Linked DNA regions of Ovis aries. The protein of the gene in region 1 purifies or fractionates together with the protein of each later gene. This does not show direct contact. Links are inferred from orthologs where the notes say so. Each region holds a gene or a part of one and is shown in the gene's direction. Other genes may lie near its edges.

Region 1 (3,953 bases):
AAGCTACGCTAGAGCTACCACCTCCATCGGAAGGCTATTAGCCTAGTCCAGGGGAGAGGTAATATCAGCCTGCATTAGGGAGTGTCTTCAGCAATGGCATCAGTTCAGTTCAGTTCAGTCGCTCAGTCGTGTCCGACTCTTTGCGACCCCATGAATCGCAGCACGCCAGGCCTCCCTGTCCATCACCATCTCCCGGAGTTCACATCCATCGAGTCGGTGATGCCATCCAGCCAGGTCATCCTCTGTCGTCCCCTTTTCCTCCTGCCCCTAATCCCTCCCAGCATCAGAGTCTTTTCCAGTGAGTCAACTCTTCGCATGAGGTGGCCAATGGCATGAGGACGAGTAATATATAATAGGTTCATTGCAATCATCCTATGAAAACCTCGCTGGTTGCGAACAGCATGAAGTTGAAACCTGTTCAGCCAAATCCAGAGCAGCTTTGTTCACATATATACACAACCACACAAATGGAATGAGAGAGCTGAACTCGTCAGTCAGAAATTAGAATTAGAAGCATATTTTTATTTAGCTTCAACGATCAGAGCAGTAGTGTGAATTAATCAGATTCTTGCCCCCATTTTTTTTTTTTTTCTACTTGACTCAGCGGCTCGAGAAACGCTAACACATATACAGCGCTTTCTATGTCTCAGGCATGTTATAAGAGCTTTACATTTTCCATTCTTCTAACCCTTTATTTGACACAGGAGGAAACTGAAGCATAGGAGATGCCCAGGTAATGCAGCTCTGTGAAACAGCAAGGATTAAACTCAGGCGTTCTGGCTCTAGAGTATCTATTCTTTACACTAGAATAAAAGAGTCGGATAATGCTGAAACAGCATCGGATCGTGACACACTCTTACTGGTGGCAAAACACTTGGCTCTGGGATCACAGTTTCTCCTTCTGTAAGACGGAGATAATAACGACGCTAGGAGTTTGGTGCAAAGGAGTGAGATAATGAATGCGAAAGCGAACTTCAAATTATGTAGGTGGGTCCACACACCAGTCTTTTGGAATAGTAAGAACGGGAACTCAAGAAATTGTAACGAATCAGTCTAAGAAGCTTGCAGCGAGACTCCGCCCCTGACGCTCCTCCCTCCGCGAGCCGCAGGTGGGGCCGGCAGATCTTCTTTGCGCATGCGGGAACTGCTGCCCGCTCCCACCTCTAACCCAGGCTGAGAGTAGCTGCCGTTTCTGAGAGGACGATTCGTAAGGAGGCCCCTGGCGCGGTTTCCCATTGCTCGTCCCTCTGCGGGCTTTGGCCATAGTTCAGCGGTGTCTAGAGGGTGGTCTGTTCTCGTCTACCTGCCTGACTTTCTGGAGAGGTACCTGTGGTTGGCCCAGTAGTCGGCTGTCGAAAGTGCCGGCCCCCGCGCCGGCGCCGGCTGCAGCCGGGTGGGAAGGCTCAAGATGGCGTGCCTGTTGGAGACCCCAATCCGCATGAGCGTCCTCTCGGTGAGTGACCCGCCGCAGCCGCTCGCTTGCCCGCGCGGGAGCTCGGGCCCAGCCCGCTCCATTCACCACCAACGCCGTCTGCCTTCTTGGGCACCACCCCTTGGGGTGGCCTCTGGCTCAGCTCTGGGCCGGGGAGTGAGAGAGGGTGGGCGGGCGGGATAGACTGGATCCCAGCCGAGCCCGAGACGTCTCCAACTGCCGGAGCGCTCACCGGTGCCGGTTCTCAGGACGGCGTCCGGCGGGCGGGCTGGTTGGGCGTACGGGCAGCTGGCCCAGCGGCGCGGCTTGGGCTTTGCCAGTTTCACCGAGCCCTCCTCTTAGCGATGCCGGTTCCCCGGGGCCGAGCACTCTGCTCCGTGAAGCGCCGGGCTTGCCGCTGAGCTGGGGATGAGTGCCCACTTAGCCACCCCTCCCCCCGGCCGCTGTGGCAAAAAGAGATAGAGGGTCCTTGGCCCCCACAGACTTGGGGCTACCACGCCAGATCTGTGTGGCTTCTATCGCTTCCCAGCACCCGGTCACGGGCTGGAGCTGCTTGCTTCTTGGCAACGGGTATTTCATATCAGTTGCAACGTCTCCTAGTGTGTGTAGTTATTTAAGCTCCCTTTCTCCGCTCTGCTGTGGAGGTCTCAGCCCTGTGAGTCTGAAGGAACCTGTGCTTGGCATTCCTCTTTCCTTCAAGGGGAGTCAAACGTTAAAAAAAAAAAAAAAAAAAAGGAATGTATTGACATGCCAGAAAGCAAACCTAGTTTGCTTGTTGAAGTTTAAAAATAAAACCAGAACGCGACTTTCACCGTTTACTGTGTTGCTCTTGAGAGAACCAGGACCAGGGGTGAAAGTTACTAAAAGGTACCTTAGAAGGGTTTTGCAACAAATGAAAGCTGTGCAACTGAGAAAAGTCAGTTTACCAGAGGCCCATTTGTTGTAGTTGGAAACCAGCCGGCAAAGACTGGTTGACCATCTTTTAGACTTGTCGTGGAAGTCAGTCCGATGTTGAGAGGGTGGCTGGATTGTAGGTGACTTGTCAGGTTCGGTGAGTCTGTGGCTTCAACTGGTTTCTTTTCTCTTCGGTGACTTCTCCCACAAACACACTCACCTATCTTAGCAGTTAGCACATTTGCAACAATTCGCGTTTAGAGCATTGTTGCAGTTGCAGAATTGTGGTATATTCCACCTTGATAATTTTTTTGGAGGGAGGGGAGCTGTACAGAAATCTTTTCTCTGATCCATTTTAGTAATCCTTTTTTTAAATTTTTAAACTGTGACTGGGGAAATAATGTTCACCTAAGCATTGAATTTAGATTCAGTTACCACACCTCTGACTGACACCTAGGAACATTTTATGGGAGAACAGGCCAATGACTTTTCCATCATTATGCTGTTGTTTTTAAGTCACTTTTCTCAATTCCCTTTAATTATTCTCGTTTATCCTTAACTTCGCTTGAAGCGTCTTTATTTTTGTACATCGTCAACTCGTATAGGGTACAGTTGATTTTTTTGTTTGTTTGTTTTCACTCCCTTAGTAATATTTCCTATTAAACTTTGTGCAAAAACTTCTTGAAGAGTGTTCTGTACTTCTAGTGGGGATTTGCTTTAGCCCCAGTCTCATTGGGCCTTTCTTCCCCTCCACCTCCAACCACCTGTTTTGTTTTGTTTTTTTTAAGGTTTTCAGAGTCTCAGGGTCTGGTCTTTCAGTTCATCAGTTCTGGAGCCTTGGGAAATCAGAGCTTTGGATAAATGATTTAAACTGTCAAACCTTATTGATTATAATAATTTCAACTGAAGCCTGGATCTTTCAAAGTTCTACCCAGGACACCACTTTTTGAAATACAAAATGCAGATGGAACAGGAATTAATAATCAAAAATTATCTTGAAAATAATTGACCCCTTTAATAGGCTACTTATTTTGTACCAGCTGTGTACAACACTCTTTAACGTATGCTTTAGGGAATGCATGATTGAGCTCAGCATACCCTCAGGGAACTCACTGGTCTGAATGACTCCATAGCTTGAAAAACATAATTCACACCAGGGGCAGATCAAATGGTTTAGAGAATTTCCATTCAAGGCCCTTTATATCTTCTCTCTGGTGGCTCAGATGGTAAAGAAATCTACCTGCAATGCGTGAGACCCGGGTTCAATCCCTGGGTTGGAAAGATCCCCTGGAGGAGGGAATGGCAACCCACTCCAATATTCTTGCCTGGAGAATTCCATAGACAGAGGAGCCTGGGGTCACAAAGAGTCAGACATAACTGAGCGACTAACCACAACCTCTCTGAGAGATTTCATACATTCTAAAACGTTAACTGTAGTCGAGTCACACATCTGCATGGTAAGCCTTGACTGTTCTCCATCTGGTCTCATGTCTTCAGTTGTGTGGGTGTTAGCCATCACTTCCAACAAAGCACATTCCTTCTTCTAAGAGAACTTGGTCCTGACTTCCCTTTTCTGTTAATGGTACTGTCTTTCATGGATCACCCACCATTAAACCACTTGAATCAT
Region 2 (3,926 bases), on another chromosome or scaffold:
AGGTTACATAAGGGGACCCAACTCACAGCACGTGGTTTGACAGACTACAAGTGTATTCATGGGGACAAAGGAATAGATAAAAATTTTGAAAATAGATGGCAGTGAAAAAAAATGTGATATAAATACAGGAGCTGCCTGGAACACTCCTTCCTGCCCTCTTTGCCTGGTTGACTCCTGGATTCCACATCACTTCTTTTGGAGTGCCTTGTAGAGCAGTGTCTCTCAAACTTTAGTGCACAAAGGAATCACCGGGGGACCTTGTTAAACTGCAAATTCTAATTCAGTAGGTCTGAGGTGAAGCTCTAGCCTGCATTTCTAACAAGTTCCCAGGTGATGCTGACAGTCTAGATCTAGACCACATTGGGAGGGCTGTGTAAATTTAAAGTCTTTCTTAGTTCACCATGATATCCTCATGTCCAGCAGTGATTACCACACAATGGGTGATCAATAAATGCTTACTGAATGAATGATGAAGTTATAGGCCTGCTCTAGACGTTTGGAAGGCAGAACAAACTTTGTCCTAAACAGCAGCATATTTGGGGTACTTCTGCTTCTTTCAGTCATTCACTTTGTGAAATCACCACATAACTGTGTAAAGATGTTACAACTAAATTGCCATCATGCTGTCTCAATTCTAATCCTTGAAAAAATGACCCTATACATATGAAGGATAGCAAACCCTGATTTGCAAGCTTGAAGAAGCCTGGCTATTCTCTCCTTTCAAGGTGGGAGCAGAGGGCAGGGGACCTGCTGGTTTAGGAATTTCTAGATTTTGGTAACTGTCTGGGTTAATTTCCACCTTGGCTTCCTTAAATCAAATAAACAGACTTTTAAACAGTGTATGTGGGAAGGAGGTTCATTACCCTAAAACACATGAATATGATGATACTGCCATTATTTAATCATTATCGTTTTTGATGATGACAACGACGCTGACAGTTGAGCGATTAAGTGTGAGGGAGTTGGGGGAGGGGGGGCAGAAAGCTGGACGGGCAGGAAAAAGAGGAACTACAACTCCCAGAATCCCCTGCTAAACTCACGCCGCCGCCGCGGCACCCCACCCCTTTCGCCAGCTGGGCCCGCCCCTCCAATGACGTCACAGAGGTGACGTCACGGCGCCCAGAGCGAGGCTGGGGTAGAGAGGCCGATTGAGCAGGAGTCGTCCGCTTGTCGTGGAGGCAGCTTGGGAGCCGGCGAGAGGGTGAGCGGGCGAGCAGGCGAGAGAGCTAGAGCAGGCAGGAGGGAGCGACGCGCGGCGCAGAGGAGCGCCAGGTCCGGGCCGCGGCGGAACCCACAGCCGGAGAGGGGCAGCCCGAGCCGTGCGCCGCGGGGTCCCCACCCCCACTCGGCCGGACAGTGCCCGGTGTTCCCCCCCGTGCGGGGGGCGGCGGCGGCGGCGGCGGCTGACGGGACCAAACAGGACCGCGGGGGTGTTGCCACCTCCATCGAGGAGCCGGCGCGGCCGCGGGCTCCTCAGAGCCGGGGCCCGGGGCCCGTGACAGGCGGGCTGAGGAAGGGCGAGAGGCGGCGGCGGCGCAGGCGACGGGGAGGCAGCGGCGACACCATGTCATCCCCTAGTCCGGGCAAGAGGCGGATGGACACGGACGTGGTCAAGCTGTATCCTTCGTGGAGCGGGGCGGGGGGTGGGGAATTCGGGTTCTACGTGGGGGACGATATGGGGATGCCCGGGGCACCCCCTGAAACCTAATCAGGGGCCCAGGGGCACTCCAGCCCACTGTCCAAGGCTTCCTCCCACCCCTCCCTCCTCCCAGTGCCTACGGAGGCTCTTTGGCACCTCCCAGGAGCCGAGATCCTTCTCAGCTCCCCCTTTATCTGCAGCACCCCGAAATGTGCGTTGTTCACGCTCTTTCCGCACCTTCAGCCCCCGTGACTTTTCTCCACGACATTTGGACTCCCAAATGGGCCTTTTTTTTTTTTTTTTTTGCAGTACCAGCCCTCTCTCTTCACCACCAAGCCCACCTTCTTTTTCCTGTTTGCTCGCTCTGAATTTGGGGATTCGAGATAGAAATTCCCTAGAGCGAAGCCTTTCTCCTTTTCTTGAGATGCCTCCATTCCCTCCTCTCACAGTGCTTCTTGAACTGGGGTAACTCAAGTGACCTCCTTTATCCCTAATTCCTTTCTATATTAGGAAGAGAGTAGTCTGCTCAGTGCCCCCCTCTTGTATTAAAGAGCTCTGAATATTTTAGATCAGCTACCCCTATTAAGCTTTCTGGTCCTTAGAAGAACCTCACTCTTTTCTTCCTACCGACAAAGCCTATCCCACCCATAGTATGTGGTGAGGACCCCCAGGCCCTCCAGCAAGCCACCCTCCATATTGTGGCTATGACAGCTGAGGGGGAAGGAGAAAAAGGGGATCTCCTTGACCAAATAGCCCCTGCACTAGCCAGTTAAGCAAACTCCCTGTATGAGAATAAGGTGCTCATAATAACTGCCCTGTTCTTGCCAAGTGACACCCTTTATTTTCCTACTCCCCCCACCCCAACTTTATGTACTTTGGAGGTAGCAGTGGGAAAGCTCTAACTGATAAGAGTCCTTCAGGCAGTGGTTTTGGTTGGAGTCCAGACCGATTATTTCATGACCAGCTAGAGAAATTCGCGAAGGTTCCTGTGACAAATCGAGACATTTTTTGAGGGGTAATTTAGAGAGAGATGAGAGAGAGGAGCCCAGGGTTCTGAAAGACTGAATCCCTGGGGAGAGGGGGAACCCGGGGCTGGAGAGTGGTAGTGTGTGAAACGCAGTTTAAAAAGTCCTGTCTCCTGCTTCTGTTTCTCCTTCACCCCCATCCCCCCACCATTTCCCCCTGTTGCTGGGTTTTGTTTATATAACTCAAGTTGTTTGGCTAGATTCTTCAGGTGAATTCCTTCTTTCTTCCTTTTATTGTTACTGTTTTTGATTGGATGTTTTACCAGTTTGTAGAGATCAATGGTTATTGTTGAACACTCACTTAAAGAATTCGCTGAAGTTTTAAAAAAGTAGTTTTTTTCATTTGGTTTAGAAGTGGGGGATGGAAGGGAAGTTGCCTGGGCAAGTGATTCTTCTCTGCCCCCCCCCACCCCATAATCTTTTCAGGAATAAGATGTTTTTCTCTTCACTCAGGAAAACTTGATTAGAAATTAGGAACAGTACATGAACGTCTCAGTTTAGGGTTAGAAGTTTAGAATTTGGGGGAGGTGGGAGTGGGAATTAGAGGAGCAAGTAATAAAGTATATATTATGTACCAAATATATGTTTAGGCACAAGTGAAATTGACTCTTTATGAGCTGTTTGTGGCTGTGATTGAGTTTTGTAAATGTGTGAATAATACCAGTAATGTTGGCTTTTCATAAGGTGGCAGGAAAACTTGTAACTATGGCTGTGTGTACATTTTACACAAAGCAGTTTCGGGTTTTATTTTTGTTTAGAAACTAGGAAATGACATGGTGGCAGAATCTTGAGTTATTTTTATCTTGAATTGAGACTTACTGTCACACCTAATGCAAATTTCTACCTAATGTTTAATTGGGATGGGGGTGAGAGAGAATTCCAGCTGTCTTTGATCAATGTCAGATTCTCAAATTATATACTTACATATATTTTTTTAGAAGGCTGAGGATAAAGAGGGTGAGGCCTTACTTGACCTGATGCCTTTTCCATACAGTGCCTTTTGTTCATTTAGTAGTTGTGGCATCTAGAATGATCACCGTATTTAGGAGTGGGGTGTGGGGGGTGGAGAGGGGGAAGAAAACAGACAAAGAACAGCAGGGTGTCTTTCTTTTTTTTTCTTCCCCTAAGTGGCTTATTTCATAGCTTATTTTTAGTAGAAGATGAAGAAAGGCAAAGATGCATTGGCCTTCTGTTCTTTCCCCACCTTCCTCCTTTCTGACAAAAGAAAGCAGAGGCGCTTTAAAATTGTACATGTCTGAGAT
Region 3 (3,231 bases), on another chromosome or scaffold:
TTACTCCCGGGCCCCCACTGGGCAGCAGGCTGGCCCTCCTCTTCTGACCGTCCCCCGGCTTTTAGGAGCAGACAGTCCCAGCTGCAGCAACGGCGTCGCCTCCACCAAGAGCAAACCGAACCACAGTAAATACCCTGCACCCAGCTCCTCCTCGTCCTCATCATCCTCATCATCCTCCTCATCTCCCTCCTCAGTGAATTACTCTGAGTCCAACTCTACAGATTCCACCAAGTCCCAGCCCCACAGCAGTACCAGTAACCAGGAGACCAGGTACCTGTTCTGCTCAGCTTCTTCTCTCACTCTGTGCCCACTACAGCCTGTCCTGTGAGCAGCCCCTGCCCTGTATCCCCAACTTCCCCACCAGCTCTGTGCCTGGAATAGTAGTTGTGGACCTGCCAGGCCAGACTTTGGCTCCAGCTTCCCATCTAGCTCGTGATTCAGCTGCTGCTTCCCTTGGCCCCATCTTTCTCCAGAGCTGCTGGCACTGAGAATGTGGTTGCCTCCAAGGATACCAGGCCTCTCAGAAGGCCCCAGGGACTATACCAAAGGAGTTTTTTCTGGGCTCAGTTCTCAGCCAGACAGTTTGGGCCGGTAGAGGTTGTAGACTGCAGACTGTAGGTGGCTCTCAGCGCCCCAGCATGCTTCAAGGCTGACCCAGGTTTGGCTCCCAGACATGCCTGTCGTGACTGGTCATTGGGGGTCTAGAGGTGCATAGAAGGAGTGTGCCAACTCAGAGGAGGGCTGGGGGGGCGAGAGTCACAGAGACAGCGTCGGAACTGGAGTGGGAATGAGGTGACAAGCCTTTGGGGATGGCTGGCGTCACAGTAGGGTCCAAGTGTTGGAGCCTGGGAACCTGGGAGCTATCCTTTCATGCCCTTTGGGGACCTCAGTTTATCCACAGCAGCCTGTGGCTGAAGCCTCGGTGGAGGCCCACCGAGGCTGCTCCAACCACATTCCCTTAGCCAGCTCCCATCTCCACCCTTCTCCACAGCGACAGTGAGATGGAGATGGAGGCGGAGCATTACCCCAACGGTGTGCTGGAGAGCATGTCCACACGCATCGTCAATGGTGCCTACAAGCATGAGGACCTGCAGACGGATGAGTCCAGCATGGGTAAGGCTGTGCCCTCACCTGCCCACTGTTCCGCAGATGGCCGTGCTCAGTCCCGGTGCCCTCTTCCCTCGGTGGGGGTAAGGGTGGGGCTGGGCAGGCTGATCCACTGCCTCTGTAGCCATCACAAATGGGTGTTTGCGATGGGAAGACCTTGGCCTGCTGCCCAGGCTGGGTTCCTTCATTAGTGGCTGGAGGGGGTTGGTGAGAGCAGGTACCCTTATGAACCCCTTACATCTTGCACAGGGTGGGAGAGGAAAGCTTCCAAGTCCTGCCTGACCCCTAGACCCTATGCTGGGTAGACTTAAGAACGGCTCAGCTTGGTGTGGCCCCCCTGCGCCTCTTAGCCCTCGCTTGCCTCCACCAGAAGGGCACTCACCCCCATCCCCAACCTAGGTCCTTCTTGCCATGTTCTCTTCGGGGTCCCCACCCTAGTCCTCCCTTGTTTCTTTGTGCCCTCCCAATGTGCCCCCTGCTGGGCTCTGGGTGCAGATGATGGGCATCCGCGGCGGCAGCTCTGCGGGGGCAATCAGGCAGCCACGGAAAGAATTATCCTGTTCGGCCGCGAGTTGCAGGCACTGAGTGAGCAGCTGGGCCGGGAGTATGGCAAGAATTTGGCCCACACGGAGATGCTGCAGGTATGGAGCAAACCAGGCTTTTGTACAGAGTGGGCCCCTGTTTGGTAGTAGGGGCGTGTGGTGACTCTGGGAGGGCACTGGGGGCAGCAGCAGTAGGAGAGAGTGAGCTCTAGACAAGACCGTGGTGGGAAGTGGGACATCGGGGTACTTTGTGCCCTCCCTGACACCATGCAGGGCCCCGTATCCCCCTGAAGCCATGGGGCGTGTTGGTGCGTACCACAGTCCTCTCAGAAGTACCCTGTTCCTTAGGATGCCTTTAGCCTGCTTGCCTACTCAGACCCCTGGAGCTGCCCAGTTGGCCAGCAGCTTGACCCCATCCAGAGGGAGCCTGTGTGTGCCGCCCTCAACAGCGCCATTTTAGGTAAGTGGCTCTAACGAAAATAAGCTGTCCCAGGAGTGCCTGGGGTGGCCCGTCACCCCTCCCTTGTTTGTCCAGATCAGGGCAGGGAAGTCTGCCTAGAGGCCCTCTGGTGGCCCGCAGGACTCTTGGGCTCCTGTGACAGAACCCTGACCTCCCTCTGCCCAACTGAGTCGGCCAGCTAGATCACAGTAGGCCCTAGACTATGACGTGGGCCCAGGCCAGCTCATTGCTCCAAAGAAAGCTAAGGTCCACAGGGCCATAGCCTGGTGGTTTGGACACACATGGAGGCATATGAACTCTCTCTTCCGAGAGATTCTGTCCACTCTCCCCAACCTTCTGCTCCCAAAGGAACTTGGATCTGGGCTCAGCCCTGATCAGGGCAGTGACCAGGTCTTGTCTTTTCTCCACAGAGTCTCAGAACCTGCCAAAACAGCCCCCGCTGATGCTCGCCCTGGGCCAGGCATCTGAATGTCTACGGCTCATGGCCCGAGCGGGCCTGGGATCTTGCTCTTTTGCCAGAGTCGACGACTACTTGCACTAGCTGACCACACTGGCTGGCCCCGCCTGGCCCTCCCTCGGCCCCAGGGCTGGAGCAGCCCTGCTCTCCATCGGCACCTGGTGCAGGGACCCAGAAGCCACGGGCAGAGCCCACTCCTCCTGCCTGGCCTCTTCTGTTCCTTTCCTCCCTTCCTTCCTTTCTTTTTCTCCCACCTTCAGTCTCTCTCTCTCTCCCTCCTTCACGTGCAGCGGCCTATGACACAGAATTGGCTGGTTACTGTTCATGTAGCGCCTTCTATTTTGAAAGAGGGGGGTTGTTTTGAGGAGAGGTTGGGGTTTTTTAATCTTTTTCTTTTTTCCTCTCCTCCTGACTGAGCCACCAGTATTTATCTCTGGAGAGTTTGTGCTGAGCTGGTTTCTGCTAATTTAGTGATGAAGCCTATCCACGTTGGTGATAGCTTATTATTTTCATAAGTAAAAAAAATGAGATTATATATATAAATATATATATTAAAAAAAGACAGTATTTATCGTAGTGTTAGTGGTCCAGCACCTCTTGGGTGAGGCTGTCCAGACACCATGTTTTTATTTGAGTACAACTCATCAAAAAAGAATCATCTCTGT
Region 4 (3,503 bases), on another chromosome or scaffold:
AATCCATGGACTGTAGCCTGCCAGGGTCCTCTGTCCATGGGATTTTTCCAGGCAAGAATACTAGAGTGGGTTGCCATTTCCAACTGAGGGATCGAACCCAGCTCTCTTGCATCTCCTGCATTGGCAGGCAGATTCTTTTTTTTTTTTTTTTGTATTGAAGGATAATTGCTTTACAGAATTTTGTTATTTTCTGTCAAACCTCAACACGAATCAGCCTAAGGTATGCATATGTCCCCTCCCTCTTGAAGCTCCCTCCCATCTCCCTCCCCATCCCATCTCTTTAGTTGATACAGAGCCCATTTGAGTTTCCTGAACCATACTACAAATTCACATTGGCTATCTATTTTACATATGGTAATGTAAGTTTCCATGTTACTTCTTCCATACATCTCACCCTCTCCTCCCCTCTTCCCATGTCCATAAGTCTCTTCTCTATGTCTGCTTCTCCATTGCTGCCCTATAAATAAATTCTTCAGTACCATTTTTCTAGATTCCATATATATAACAGGCAGATTCTTGACCACTGGGCCACCTGGGAAGCCCGTCTCTTCCTCTCCCCTCCCCCCCAAAATTATTCTTGTCTAAAAATAATCCTTTTATTTATTTAAAACTTTATCTTTACTTTTTAACACCAAAACATTTTAGCAATATTTTAAATGTAGTTTTTCACTTTACTTAATACTTTTCTATATTTTTAAAAAAGTAACTGAAAAAAACAAAATTCAGCTGAATAAATGTGAGGAACTAATTGGCTTTATACAACAATTCATGAATAGGGCAGCAACCCATCTAGCAGCTATCAGGGTGCTGTCAGGGGTTGTATAAAATGGAAGGTTTCTATAGGCTGGCAAGTCCGGCAAGGGAGCTATTAGCATAATAAAAGGAATGATTGGAGCTATACCCCAACAGAAAAGTATTAACAGTAAAGTTTAGAACTACATTAAAAATAATACTTCTGTCCCAGGCCTCCCCCACTCAGCTCTTTTTTTTTTTTTTTTTTTTTAAGAAACAACCCGCTGCCAAACCAAGCCTATTCCACAACAGCCAAGGACCAGACTGCAGATGAAACGGAAGCTGGGGCAGGGGCAATGGATGTAAGTTAGTGTTCTTAATCCTGGGAGCAGAAGGCAAGAAAAAAGAATTCTTGAAGAAAGTAGAAAAGTTTAGTAGCTCCAGGAAAAAAATGCAGCCCCTCCCTAGTAATCAGAGAAAGGCAAATATTTTCCCCCTCTGGGATAGGCAAAAAAGATGGACAGGGCAAATGTCCAAGCGGGGAGGGAGCAGAGGACTGGCCCACATCTGCCGCGCTTTTGGTGGGAGTGGAAATTGAGGACCAGAGCTCACTGGTGACGTAGACCTCATGTGACCAGGAGTCGACGTGTGCAGAAGTCCTGCTAGTCTGGTCCTTGTTCCCGTCTGGGTACCAGCTTCCTTCAGCAGCGGTAGCCGGTGGGGCCAACGGTGGGGAAGGAGAAGGAGTCTACTGGCTGAAAATTTTCAGGTTGGTGGCAAAATAGATGCTGCCTGGGAATTACTAGGGTGGGGATGGCCTAGAAGCAGAGATTTAAGGGAGCCTTGGAAAAGTCCAGCTCTCCACCTCCCACCTCCAGGTCTGCAGGAAATGATGACCCTTGGGAAAGGGACTAGGGGTCCCGGAAGAAGGACAAGGAGACCTGTGATAGTTTAAAAATAATCATCCTCTGCCACCTAAGGCCGCTTTCCCAACACCTCCCCTCCCCCCACCCCCAACCCCCCGTGTTAATGATAGTTTGGAAATTTGCTTTTCCGACTCCCTGTCTGATGGAAAATTCGAGTTAACTTGCACTATGGAGAGGGAGGGAAATGAGGGAAACAGAAGGTGGGAAAGTTTCCATAACCGGGAACCTTAACAGGAAAAGTCCGCCGAGTGCTCGCCCCACCCCCACTCTTACCCCCTCCCCCTCCCGCTTCCCGTGGGTCTGAGGTCTGCTATCCTGAAAAGGCCAGGAAGAAAAGTGACCAGATCCATACAGGAAGATGAGGGAAATGTTATAAACGCCCCTGGGGTGGAGGTGGGCAAAGGAGGGACTGAGGTCGTGGGCCCCTATGCTCTTCCCCCGCACCCCTCTTCCCGCAGCTTCCTTGTCTTCTGGGAGGGTCTTGCGTTCTGCCTTGTGTGAGAGAAATGGTTGAGAAGAACCTTGGAAACGGCTGGAGGGAGGGACGAGGGAGGTGAGGAGGTGGAAAATGGAGGTGAGAATGGCAGGCTCAGGGGAAACCCTGATGGCTGACGTATCCTTCTTGCTTCCTAGAAGTAGCTGTTTTCAAAGAAAAATAAGCAGAAGAAAAGAAAGGAAGAGGGAAAGAAAGGGAGACACAAGATGAAACCCTGTCAAAAAACTGAAGAAAAACCAGAAAATGAGAATGAACCAAAACTTGAAGAAGTACCAAAGCCTGAGGAAAAGCAAGAGGAGGAGCAAAAAACCGAAGGAACTTTTAGAGAAAGACTGATTCAGTCTCTCCAGGAATTTAAAGAAGATATACACAACGGGCATTTAAGCAAGGAAGATATGTTTAGAAATGTGAATGAAATTGATGCGATAAGGAGAGTCAGAAACAAACTTATAGTGATGCGTTGGAAGGTTAATCGCAACCATCCTTACCCCTATTTAATGTAGTTTACCTCGATTTCTGTTTTTTCTGATTGTTGACATTACTTTCTTTTTTGTTGTCCTGTATATCTCTGTCCATCTTTCTGCTTTTAACTTGTTGCTGTTAGTGGTTTAAGATGCATCTCATTGTTTATTTCAAACCAATCTACAAGTCTTTGCCTTTTAATAGGAGAGCTTTACTCATTTGTACAAAAAGAGATTCCTAACAGGATGTAAAATGTAAAAATGTTACTAAGTAATATGTGAATATCATATTTTTGAAAGGGGAGGGCGCATTTGTATATTCCATATATACACAGAAGAATATGTGAAGGATGAAAGACAAAAAATATAGTCAGTGGAAGGATTATGAGTGATTTTTTTTATTCAGCTTATTTGTATTTTTCCTTATTCCTAGAATGTACACACTTTATTGTTAAAAATAATAAAAGTTTTATAACAAAAAAGGAGTAACCAACAGTAGTTATTATATTTCTAAAGGCATTGAGACACAAAATATTAGCAGAATTTTAGAAGTAAATATGAACTCCAAATTACCAACAGACCTTTTAGCTAGAAAAATAAATTTTATATCTTTTCTCATTTGTAGTATAGAGATAATAACGATCTTTCTGGGATCTCATGAGGACCAAATAAGGTACTGACTGTGAGCTATATTTGATAGGCTTTTATTTCCATATGCCCATGTAGGATGCCAGATCCTTAAGAGATTTGTTTTAGGTATTTTGGAGAGAGAAGGTTAATTCTCACCTGTGCTTAAGAAAAAATCCAGACAGCTGTTAGGTGGGTACCACCTTTGTTTTTCTCTCCTCCTGTGCCTGCCCAACCTTCTATGCCCCTCCCCTTGATATT
Region 5 (4,029 bases), on another chromosome or scaffold:
GGGCTGTGAAAACCCCAGGGCCCCCAAGCCTGATCACCTCCAGTTGGAGACAGATACCTGTGCTCACCTACCTGAAGCGCAGGAGCCCCTCCCGGCCATTGGTGGCCTCTTCCTCGGGAAATAGTAGCAGAGGGGTAGGGGGAAGCCTTGTTGAAGCACAGAATCTCTTGAGTGACTCCACCAACTCGCCTTGACCATCCATCTCCATAAAGCCCCGAGACCAGCACACAAAGCTTGGGGGACTATTGAGTAGAGGCTGGGCACCGGAAGGAGAGAAAGCAAGAAGAAAAGAATGCTGTGAAGTGAGAAAAATTGACATATGGGTAGAAAAGCAAGGTCGGGGTAAGGGTCAGTATCTTGTGGTCCCCATGGGAAACCCGAACACGGAGAGGGGTGCCTTGAGCTGGGCCCCAGGGAGCCACTCCGTGGCACTCTCGGCTTCCTCCCTAACTCACGGTGCTACAGCTGGTGAGCAGGTTGACTATGTTGTGGTCGAAAGGTGTCACGTGGTTGGAAATGAGGACCCTGACACGGTGATCCCGCAGTCCAGAGTCCTCCTGCCGGGCCACGAGCCCCAGCACTGCACACATGGTCCGTACCACGAACCTGCGAACGCAGGCAGTGGTGACTACCTGGCCTTGGGCCAGGCCCAGCCCCAGCCCTCCCCGAGCGCCCGGGTCGGAACCTGCGAAAGACACTGTCTGGTAGCGCGCAGCTGACCAGGAAGACGTGGATCCCAAGAAACAGGCGCAGGACGAGGAGGCAGAACCCGACTGGAGCGTAGAGTAGTAGCGCGAGGAGCAGGAAGCCGTCACCCGGGAGCCTGGGGGCGAGAGGCGGGGTGATTGGGCGCCGAAGGCCAAGTGGACGCGGAAGTCGGTCTCTTCCCGCCGGGGTTCTTACCGGTGCGAATCAAAGAGCCGCTCCGGCCCCGGCGACGACGGAGGCTCCATTGCCGCTGCTTTAGGATTGTCTGGCCGCTGCCGCCATCTTTGCGCCCCGCCGCAGGGGCTCTTGGGAAGGCGGAGTCTTCGGGCATCCGCCCAGGGTGCCGGGACCTGAAATTCTGAGGCGCCCCGGAAGGGCTAGCGGTCCCATCATGCCTCGCGGACCCGTGGGCCACCTCATAACTCGCGTCCCGCGGGGACCACAATTCCCGGCATTCGCGGGGCGGGGGCGGAGTTGGCCTCCCGGAATCCTGGGTCCCAGCGTGCACTTCTGGAGACTTCAGGTACCGGCGTCCTCAGCGTCCAGCTGCCCTCCTGGTCGCGTCTAGGGCGCCGCCTCTGCGCTGGGCGGGCGAGGAAGCCGCCGAGGCGGAGCTGATGGCTGCACTGAGGGCGGGGCGGGGTGCTGGCTGGAGCCTCCCGGGATGGCGGGCTTTGGGTGGGGGTCTCTGGGGAAAGGGACCCCTGTTGACCCCTGACCTCCGGGCCCTGCTGACGTCAGGAACTCCTGACCCTCGGACCCGAGTGACTTATGGGACCCCCAGTTTCAGGGCCCGGTTGTCTGTGGGGGTCCCTGAACCACGGACATGCCTGAGGTCCTGGACTTCGGATCTCCGAGCACGGCTGATCGCTGGGACCCCAGATCCCCGGACTCCGGAAGGCTCCGGAACTCCCGGAACCCGTCCGCGCGTGTGGCTAGCGGTGGCGCTGGGCGCTGGAGGGGCGGTGCTGTTGTTGTTTTGGGGCGGAGGGCGGGGTCCCCCGGCTGTGTTCGCCTCGGTCCTTGGCTCGCCGCCCACCTCTCCCCGGAGCCAGTACAACTTCATCGCGGACGTGGTGGAGAAGACGGCCCCTGCCGTGGTTTATATCGAGATCTTGGGCCGGTAATGGTGGGGGTAAACACTAAGGCACCGAAGCCGCGGGCTAGAGGGCGGGCGAGAAGGATGGGTCTGAGCCTCCTCACATCTGTACTGTCCCCCCGCCCCCCTTTTTCCAGGCACCCTTTTTCGGGCCGCGAAGTCCCTATCTCGAATGGCTCAGGATTCGTGGTGGCTGCCGATGGACTCATCGTTACCAATGCCCATGTGGTGGCTGATCGGCGCCGAGTCCGTGTAAGGCTGCCTAGCGGCGACACGTATGAGGCCGTGGTCACAGCTGTGGATCCCGTGGCAGACATCGCCACGCTGAGGATTCAGACCAAGGTGGGGGTCGGGGCAGGCCATGTCTGCTTGGGACTGTGAATTTGTTCACATCTCCAGATGCCAGGTCTCTTGTACCCATTCTCCCTTAGGAGCCTCTCCCTACGCTGCGCCTGGGACGCTCAGCTGATGTCCGGCAAGGGGAGTTTGTTGTTGCTATGGGAAGCCCGTTTGCACTGCAGAACACAATCACCTCCGGCATTGTCAGCTCTGTTCAGCGTCCAGCCAAAGATCTGGGCCTTCCCCAAACCAATGTGGAGTATATCCAGACTGATGCAGCTATTGATGTGCGTCCTGATATAAGAAAAATGAGACTAGGTTGGGAGAGAGGGGAGGGGTGTGTGGTACAGGCACCAGTTGTGATAGATGGTGGATGAGCCTATATACTGGGATTGGGTTGCAAAAAATGTGGCCACTCCTTCACGGGCTGGGAAAGGAGAGGATTTGGAGAAAGTGTCTACATCCTGATTGTGCCCCGAGGCATAGAGTCCCTGGATCTCTGCCATATTTTCTCCTTGTCCTGCAGTTTGGAAACTCTGGAGGTCCCCTGGTTAACCTGGTGAGTGTGACATCCTTTCCAAGAATCCCTATCTCAGGTCAGTATGGGAAGAGGTGGGTTTCCCCTAATTCACTGGTGTTTGGTCAAGTTTCTGAGCAGTTTCTTGTTGGCTGTCTCCCAGAATCCAACTAGATCTCCCCCAAAACTCCCTCCCACTCTTGCTCAGGTACCCCCATCTCCTATTATTTGTCTGGGCTAGAGAATAGTGGGCTGTGTCCCAACAGGATGGGGAGGTGATTGGGGTGAATACCATGAAGGTCACATCTGGAATCTCCTTTGCCATCCCTTCTGATCGCCTTCGAGAGTTTCTGCATCGTGGAGAAAAGAAGAGTAAGCCTGGCTTTTGGGGAAACGGGTTTCTTTAGTGGCAGGGGTGGGGAGGGTTTGCTGGAAGAGGGGTCAATTGGGAGGAGGAGGGGAAGTAAGGATATACCTGGGTGGGGCTCATTTGTCCTTCTAACACAGATTCCTGGTTTGGAGTCAGTGGGTCCCAGCGCCGCTACATTGGGGTGATGATGCTGACCTTGACTCCCAGGTATGAGCTTTAGGGGTAGTGACACGTAGGGCCATCAGTGTAACCAGTGGTGGGTACCTGGCAGTTCTGTTGAGCTTCGTTCTTAGTTCTGTTTTTATCTAAGATGAGTTGCCTCATTCCTCTCTCATTATCTTGATTTTTCTCACCTCACTCTATTTTGCATACCTTCCATCCTGTTATTGCTTAGATTTACAATAAATACCCAACCTTCCAGATGTGGCTTCCCTATGAGTATTTTCTGTTCCAGCCAACTTGATTTCCTAATCCCGTGTTTTTATGTTGTTCTTGTTTTATATAGTTTAATATCAGATTGATTCTTCTAGGTTAAGCTAAAGTTATAGCACTTCCTAAGTTATAGCTGCTTTTAGGATTCTAGAATGACATTAGTGCTATTGATTTAACCCTGTGTGTCATTTGGAATGTTACCTTTTATATACACATTCTGCTTCCTAACTGCTAGAAGGCAAAAAGTGAATTGTTTTTGTATCAAGAGGATCTAGTGCACGTCCTGTTCACACGCTTGTCGGTGTGCTGATGAAAGATGTGAGGCAAACCCCGAATGGGGAGAGTGCCCTGTGACCAACAGAGTGATCTGTGTCCTTTCAGCATCCTTGCTGAACTACAGCTTCGAGAACCAAGCTTCCCTGATGTTCAGCATGGTGTGCTCATCCATAAGGTCATCCTGGACTCCCCTGCTCACCGGTGAGGGAGAGGCTGCGTTAGGAGGTGGAGATGGGTGGGGTGTATGCGCCCTTGAAGTGGGCCATCTAGTTCTTCCTTTATCTCTCT
Region 6 (3,500 bases), on another chromosome or scaffold:
GCATCGCCCCTGGGTTTCAGGTGGTGCATCTCAACGCCGTCACTGTGGACAATCGCCTGGACAACCTGCAGTTGGTGCCGTGGGGCTGGCGGCCCAGAGCCGAGGAGGCCTCCAGCAAGCAGAGGTAGGTCGTCCTGGGGCCTGGCAGTGCGGCCCCGCCAGGCTCGCTGCCAAGGGAGGCTGGCTCGGCTCTGGCTCTGCGGCTTCTGTGGGTCTGGGAGTGCTGGTCATCTCCCTCCAGGTGTGCAGGCAGGACAGTGCCTCCGAGGTCAGCTGGGCAGCCTGCGCCCCTCCTTGGTCCAGACTCCAGTGTTAGAGCCTGATCCTGACTAAGGGGTCCTCACGTGGCTCTTGAAGGAGGCAGAGCCTCCTGACAGTTAGTTAGGGTTCTCATCCTCCTGGGGATTGTGGTAGTCTACACTTGCGGTTGCAAGTGACAGAAACTGAGCCCAGTTTGGCTGAAGCAAAAATAGGACCCTTGCTGGCTCCCCTGCTGAGATGTGGCAAGCCACAGAACCGCCTGGAGGTCTCAGGAGCGGCCACCAGGGCTGCACACTGACTGCTCGGCAGCGGCCCGCGGCACTGAGGAGTTGCTTGCTTCGGAGCACTTTTCTGCTCTGCTGGGGATAGGACGGTGGTTTCATCAGCAGAAAGGAAGGTTGGGGATGCTCTGGTGGCCCAGCGGTTAGGACTTGGCGCTTCCGCTGCGGCGGGCCCGGCTGTGAACCCGGGTGTGAACCCGGGCTGGGGAGCTCAGAGCCCACAGGTTGCATTCCTGTCGTTTACTCGCTGAGTCCCGTGCGACTCTGCGGCCCACGGACCCCACACGCCAGGCTCCGCGGTCCTCCACTGTCTCCCGGAGCTTGTTCAAACCCACGTCCATTGAGTCGGTGATGCCATCCAACCATCTCATCCTCTGTCGCCCCCTTCTCCTGCCTTCAATCTTTCCCAGCATTGGAGTATTTTCCAATGAGTTGGCTCTTTGCATCAGGTGGCCAAAGCACTGGAGTTTCAGCTTCAGCATCAGTCCTTTCAAGGAATATTCAGGACTGATCTCCTTTAGAATGGACTGGTTGATCTCCTTGCAGTCCAGGGGACTCTCAAGAGTCTTCTTCTGCACCGCAGTTCGAAAGCATCAATTCTTCATTGCTCAGCCTTCCTTATGGTCCAGCTCTCACATCCATACATGACTATTGGAAAAACCGTAACTTTCACTACAGACCTTTGTTGGCAAAGTAACGTCTCTGCTTTTGAATATGCTGTCTAGGGTGGTCGTAACTTTTCTTCCAGGGAGTCAGCGTCTTTTACTTTTGTGGCTGCGGCCACTGTTGGCAGTGGTTTTAGAACCCAAGAAAATAAAACCTGTCACTGCTTCCACTGCTTCCCCTTCTATTTGCCATGAAGTGATGGAACCGGATGCCATGATCTTCGTCTTCTGAATGTTGAGCTTTAGGCCAAAATTTTCACTCTCCTCTTTCACTTTCATCAAGAGGCTCTTTAGTTCTTCACTTTCTGCCGTAAGGGTGGTGTCATCTGCATATCTGAGGTTATTGCTATTTCTCCTGGCAATCTTGATTCCAGCTTGTGCTTCTTCCAGCCCAGCGTTTCTCATGATGTACTCTGCATGTAAGTTAAATAAGCAGGGTGACAATATACAGTCTTGACGTACTCCTTTTCCTAGTTGGAACCAGTCTGTTCCATGTCCAGTTCTAACTGTTGCTTCGTGACCTGCATACAGATTTCTCAGGAGGCAGGGAAGGTGGTCTGGTATTCCCATCTCTCTCAGAATTTTCACGTTTGTTGCGATCCACACAGTCAAAGGCTTTAGCTTTAGTCAATGAAGCAGAAGAAGGTGTTGGTTTGGAATTCCTTTGCTTTTTGTATGATCCAGCAGATGTTGGCAATTTAATCTCTGGTTCCTCTGCCTTTTCTAAGTCTACCTTGAACATCTGGAAATTCTTGGTTCATGCACTGTCGCCTCACTTGAAGGGTTTTGAGCATTACCTTGCCAGCATGTGAGATGAGTGCAATTGTATGGTAGTTTGAGCATTCTTTGGCATTGCCTTTCTTTGGGATTGGAATGAAAACTGACCTTCTCCAGTCCTGTGGCCGCTGTTGAATTTTCAAACTCTGCTGGCATATTGAGTGCAGCACTTTCACAGCATCATCTCTTAGGACTTGGAATAGTCCAGCTGGAATTCTATCACTTCCACTAACTTTGTTTGTGGTGATGCTTCCTAAGGCCCAGTAACTTCACACTCCAGGATGTTTGGCTCTAGGTGAGTGATCACACCATTGTGATTATCTGGGTTGTGAAGACCTTTTTCGTATAGTTCTTCTGCGTATTCTTGCCGCCTCTTCTTGGCCTCTTATGCTTCTGTTGGGCCCTTGGCGTTCCCGCCCCTTATCGAGCCCCCTCACACGGCTGTTCCCGCGGCGTCTCCAGTTCCCTTGCCCAGCTCTGCAGCCCCTGCCGTCGTGTTGGTTTCCTGTGTCTTTGCATTGTTCCCCTAAGAAGGCTTTCTTGTCTCTCCTTTTCTCGGGAGCCCTGCATTCAGCTGGGTGTACCTTTCCTCCTCTGCCTCTCACTCCTCTTCCTTCCTCAGCTCTCCGTAAGCCCTCCTCAGACGACCACGTCGCCTTGCTGCATTTCTCTTTCTTGGGGATGGTTTTGGTGACTGCCTCCTGCGCAGCGTGGCAGACCTCCGTCCATGGGTCTGCAGGCTCTCGGTCTATCAGATCTAACTCCTTGACTCTGTTCCTCACTTCCACTGTACTATCATAAGGGATTTGATTTAGGCCATACCCGAATGGTCTAGTGGTTTTCCCCACTTTCTACAATTTAAGTATGAACTTGGCAATAAGGAGCTCATGATCTGAGCCACAGTCAGCTCCCCATCTTGGTTTTGCTGTCTGCATAGAGCTTCTCCATCTTTGGCTGCAAAGACTACAGTCAGTCTGCTTTCAGTGCTGACCGTCTGGTGGCGTCCATGTGTGGGTCAGCCTCTTGTGCTGTTGGAAGAGGGTGTTTGCTGTGACCAGTGCGTCCTCTTGGCAAAACTCTGTTGCCCTTTGCCGGGCTTCATTCTGTACTCCAAGGCCAAGCTTGCCTGTTACTCCAGGAATCTCTTGACTTTCCACTCTAGTACTCTGATCCACTATGATAAAAAGGAGCTTTTCTTTGCTGTTAGTTCTAGAAGGTCTTGTAGGTCTTCCTAGAACTGTTCAAATTCAGGTTTCTTCATCATTACTGGTTGGGGCATAGACTCGGATTACTGTGATGCTAAGTGGTTTGCCTTGGAAACGAACAGATCATTCTGTTGTTTCTGAGATTGTACCCAAGTACTGCGTTTCGGACTCTTTCGTTGACTGTGAGGGCTACTCCATTTCTTCTAAGGGATTCTTGCGCACAGTAGTAGATACAATGGTCATCGGAATTCCATTCGCCTATTCCTATCCACAGGTTGCATGGCACAGCAAAAAAATAAAATAACCCAAAC
Region 7 (3,500 bases), on another chromosome or scaffold:
TGCTTTATTTATTATAGGTTCATTATTTATTTGGTGGGAATCCAGGAAAATCATGCTCCCCAAAGATGAGATTAGATGACTTCTGGTCACTGAAATTGTGTAGGCCTTCAAAAGATTACTTACTGCGGCATTGCAAGTACCTCATAAGAAAACACAGGTATAAAAATAATTCACTAAAAACTTTCATTTAGCATAATCAGCTATTGTTGATATTACCTAAGCTTTGGAGATGTGACTTTATCTTTGGAAATTTAGTGACACGACAGTGTAAATATTGTGAAGATCGTGACTTTTGTAAATGCCCTGTTACTCTCCTTATTTTTTTCTTTCTTTTTTAAAGAAAGGTACAAAGTGAAGATAGATCTTAATGCTAAAAGTTATTAAAGATAAGCAAGGATATATTGCAGCTGTCAAAATAATGGAAAAAGTTTCTATGAACATGATGAACTTACCTTCAAGTAACTCAAGGCCTAACCCACTACAAATAATATCATTTCTAGAATTATTGGCATTTGACTGACCTATTGTTGATTCTCTTAACAGTAAATATGATGATATAGTTGACTAAATACTCTCTTTATACTTTGATGTTTCAGAATACAATTTAAAATATTATAGTTTTGCATCATTACTTTTGCAATATAATTTCAAAATCATGTAATCAAACATTTTCATATATATCTCCTCAGTCTTGTTTGTTTTTTAGCCTTAGCAAATGATAAGCTACTGAAAAATGTAGAAAAATACATCTGTTCCCTTGGTTGCTAATAGTGTTAGATTGTAATTAAAATTTACAGTTTGGGGGGAGAGACAGCTTTTAATGATGATAATAGGTACCATAGATTGCCGGGAGAAATATCAATAACCTCAGATATGCAGATGACACCACCTTTATGGCAGAAAGTGAAGAGGAACTAAAAGCCTCTTGATGAAAGTGAAAGAGGAGAGTGAAAAACTTGGCTTAAAGCTCAACATTCAGAAAATGAAGATCATGGCATCTGGTCCCATCACTTCATGGGAAATAGATGGGGAAACAGTGTCAGACTTCATTTTTTGGGGGCTCCAAAATCACTGCAGATGGTGATTGCAGCCATGAAATTAAAAGACGCTTACTCCTTGGAAGGAAAGTTATGACCAACCTAGATAGCATATTGAAAAGCAGAGACATTACTTTGCCAACAAAGGTCTGTCTAGTCAAGGCTATGGTTTTTCCTGTGGTCATGTATGGATGTGAGAGTTGGACTGTGAAGAAAGCTGAGCGCCAAAGAATTGATACTTTTGAACTGTGGTGTTAGCGAAGACTCTTTGAGAGTCCCTTGGACTGCAAGGAGATCCAACCAGTCCATTCTAAAGGAGATCAGCCCTGGGATTTCTTTGGAGGAAATGATGCTGAAGCTGAAACTCTAATACTTTGGCCACCTCATGCAAAGAGTTGACTCATTGGAAAAGACTCTGATGCTGGGAGGGATTGGGGGCAGGAGGAGAAGGGGACGACAGAGGATGAGATGGCTGGATGGCATCACTGACTCGATGGACTGAGTGATGGATGGAGTCTGAGTGAACTCTGGGAGTTGGTGATGGACAGGGAGGCCTTCGTGCTGTGATTCATGGGGTCGTAAAGAGTCAGACACGACTGAGTGACTGAACTGAACTGAACTGATGAATAATTTTTGTATGCTAAAGCCTGCATGTTATTTGCACAATAAGTCAGTGGAGAAGTTACTGTTACAGTTACTCTTTTTGTAAAAGAGGAAATGGAGCCATTTTTAAGTGGATTGTGTAACTCATCTAAGGTCATTCAGCTGTGACAGCAGGATTTGATCCTGAGTATTCTGACTCCAGAGTTTTTACCACTTCACCACCACCGCCGCTTCCACTTCATACACATATGTATATACACAGACATGCATACTTATGTGTATTTATATGTTTATTATATAATTATGTATTATATTTTATTAATATATAGAATAAAATTAAAACCTCTGTGTAGGTATAAAATAGATTTTTATTTCTTTATCATATCATGTTTACCTGTTATTTCTTACTCTGCTTTCACAAGTTGTGCTTAAGAAACAAATTGATGAGAGATATGAGGTGCTTCTGTTGCTTTGTCATTACTATGAATTAAGTATTTCCTATAGAATCTGTAGGAGAAAGGGGCTGAACTATCACATTGGATGGATAGCAACATTCTGTCTTATTAGCAACATTTAAGCTTAAAGTACCTTCCAGTCTAGTTCCAGTTCAGTCACTCAGTTGTGTCCGACTCTTTACTACTGCATGAATTGCAGCACGCCAGGCCTCCCTGTCCATCACCAAGTGCCAGAGTTTACTCAGACTCCCATCCATCGAGTTGGTGATGCCATCCAGCCATCTCATCCTCTTGTCATCCCCTTCTCCTCCTGCCCTCAATCCCTCCCAGCATCAGGGTCTTTTCCAAAGAGTCAGCTCTTTGCATGAGGTGGCCGAAGTATTAGAGTTTCAGCTTTAGCATCAGTCCTTCCAAAAAACACCCAGGACTGATCTCCTTTAGAATGGACTGGTTGGATCACTTTGCAGTCCAAGGGACTCTCAAAGAGTCTTCTCCAACACCACAGTTCAAAAGTATCAATTCTTTGGCGCTCAGCTTTCTTCACAGTCCAACTCTCACATCTATACATGACCACTGGAAAAACCATAGCCTTGACTAGACGGACCTTTGTTGGCAAAGTAATGTCTCTGCTTTTCAATATGGATAGGTTGGTCATAACTTTCCTTCAGCTAATGTTATTTTGCATTGCTAAAATTTTGTTCCTTTGTATTTTACTTAATGTTAAACTTTGTTTTTAAAGGGATAAGACAGGTTTGGGAAAATCATAGTCGGTTTTTTGTTTTTTTCCTTCCCTACATCAGATACAACAACTATAGTTAGAATGTTGAGTTTGGTTTTTGAAAAAAATTTCCTGACCAAAAGCCCACTAGAGATTTAAAAGAGCTGTTTAGTACTATAAGAAAAGAATTGGAATTTACTTGTAAATACTTCCCCTCTGGCCTTTAATTAGAAAAGTAATACATGGTTAAAAAAGGATAAAAAAGTCCTCTCTCTCCACTGCAGTTGAATCATCCCTCATCCCACCATTCAGAAGTAATATTTTGGTTATGTATCCCATGAACTGTAGGTGCACAAAGAAATTTTTGTTGCTTTAACTAAAAAAGAGGAATCATCTTGCTTTGAATCTGATTTCTTTTAATAAGTGATGTATTATAAACGTCTTATTCCTTACATTAGTAAATATAATGGCTACATAGTGTTCTACTCTGTGTAATTTACATAACTAGTCTCCTTTTGTAGAATATTTAGATTATTTCTAACTTACTTGCAGTTATAAATAACAGAAATAACAGTGTGGTTAATGTTATCATGTAAGTCTGTGTGCTCCTCTGTGGCTTCTCTGGTGGCTCAGATGGTCAGGAATCAACCTGCAATCCAGGAGGCCTGGGTTCGATCCCTGGATCGG

What was found.
Region 2: the proteins of ARMC8 (region 1) and UBE2H purify together in Homo sapiens (affinity purification with mass spectrometry; 3 studies listed by BioGRID and IntAct, with this or other methods). This does not show direct contact. The link is inferred for Ovis aries from reciprocal best matches to the Homo sapiens genes ARMC8 and UBE2H.
Region 3: the proteins of ARMC8 (region 1) and RANBP10 purify together in Homo sapiens (affinity purification with mass spectrometry; 5 studies listed by BioGRID and IntAct, with this or other methods). This does not show direct contact. The link is inferred for Ovis aries from reciprocal best matches to the Homo sapiens genes ARMC8 and RANBP10.
Region 4: the proteins of ARMC8 (region 1) and TCEAL9 purify together in Homo sapiens (affinity purification with mass spectrometry; 3 studies listed by BioGRID and IntAct, with this or other methods). This does not show direct contact. The link is inferred for Ovis aries from reciprocal best matches to the Homo sapiens genes ARMC8 and TCEAL9.
Region 5: the proteins of ARMC8 (region 1) and HTRA2 purify together in Homo sapiens (affinity purification with mass spectrometry; 5 studies listed by BioGRID and IntAct, with this or other methods). This does not show direct contact. The link is inferred for Ovis aries from reciprocal best matches to the Homo sapiens genes ARMC8 and HTRA2.
Region 6: the proteins of ARMC8 (region 1) and ZMYND19 purify together in Homo sapiens (affinity purification with mass spectrometry; 4 studies listed by BioGRID and IntAct, with this or other methods). This does not show direct contact. The link is inferred for Ovis aries from reciprocal best matches to the Homo sapiens genes ARMC8 and ZMYND19.
Region 7: the proteins of ARMC8 (region 1) and MKLN1 purify together in Homo sapiens (affinity purification with mass spectrometry; 4 studies listed by BioGRID and IntAct, with this or other methods). This does not show direct contact. The link is inferred for Ovis aries from reciprocal best matches to the Homo sapiens genes ARMC8 and MKLN1.

Annotation. Positions count from the first base shown.
Region 1 is NC_056054.1:251,574,232-251,578,184, reverse strand, and holds the start of ARMC8 (armadillo repeat-containing protein 8), read left to right. Parts: upstream 1-1,153; 5' UTR 1,154-1,408; coding exon 1,409-1,453; intron 1,454-3,953. UniProt on the Homo sapiens protein: Component of the CTLH E3 ubiquitin-protein ligase complex that selectively accepts ubiquitin from UBE2H and mediates ubiquitination and subsequent proteasomal degradation of the transcription factor HBP1.
Region 2 is NC_056057.1:95,429,595-95,433,520, reverse strand, and holds the start of UBE2H (ubiquitin-conjugating enzyme E2 H), read left to right. Parts: upstream 1-1,126; 5' UTR 1,127-1,564; coding exon 1,565-1,617; exon of another isoform or gene 1,618-3,926. UniProt on the Homo sapiens protein: Accepts ubiquitin from the E1 complex and catalyzes its covalent attachment to other proteins. E2 ubiquitin conjugating enzyme that transfers ubiquitin to MAEA, a core component of the CTLH E3 ubiquitin-protein ligase complex.
Region 3 is NC_056067.1:34,829,279-34,832,509, reverse strand, and holds part of RANBP10 (ran-binding protein 10), read left to right. Parts: intron 1-65; coding exon 66-270; intron 271-991; coding exon 992-1,113; intron 1,114-1,602; coding exon 1,603-1,748; intron 1,749-1,997; coding exon 1,998-2,109; intron 2,110-2,519; coding exon 2,520-2,650; 3' UTR 2,651-3,231. UniProt on the Homo sapiens protein: May act as an adapter protein to couple membrane receptors to intracellular signaling pathways.
Region 4 is NC_056080.1:128,953,242-128,956,744, reverse strand, and holds TCEAL9 (transcription elongation factor A protein-like 9), read left to right. Parts: upstream 1-1,396; 5' UTR 1,397-1,501; intron 1,502-2,291; 5' UTR 2,292-2,360; coding exon 2,361-2,657; 3' UTR 2,658-3,003; downstream 3,004-3,503. UniProt on the Homo sapiens protein: May be involved in transcriptional regulation.
Region 5 is NC_056056.1:96,382,737-96,386,765, forward strand, and holds the start of HTRA2 (serine protease HTRA2, mitochondrial), read left to right. Parts: upstream 1-1,229; 5' UTR 1,230-1,325; coding exon 1,326-1,831; intron 1,832-1,944; coding exon 1,945-2,149; intron 2,150-2,238; coding exon 2,239-2,433; intron 2,434-2,672; coding exon 2,673-2,705; intron 2,706-2,929; coding exon 2,930-3,035; intron 3,036-3,170; coding exon 3,171-3,240; intron 3,241-3,846; coding exon 3,847-3,942; intron 3,943-4,029. Other genes in the region: lipid droplet-regulating VLDL assembly factor AUP1, read right to left, coding at 72-256, 456-606, 686-823, 904-953.
Region 6 is NC_056056.1:402,476-405,975, forward strand, and holds part of ZMYND19 (zinc finger MYND domain-containing protein 19), read left to right. Parts: coding exon 1-124; intron 125-3,500. UniProt on the Homo sapiens protein: May be involved as a regulatory molecule in GPR24/MCH-R1 signaling.
Region 7 is NC_056057.1:96,864,284-96,867,783, forward strand, and holds part of MKLN1 (muskelin), read left to right. Parts: intron 1-17; coding exon 18-157; intron 158-3,500. UniProt on the Homo sapiens protein: Component of the CTLH E3 ubiquitin-protein ligase complex that selectively accepts ubiquitin from UBE2H and mediates ubiquitination and subsequent proteasomal degradation of the transcription factor HBP1.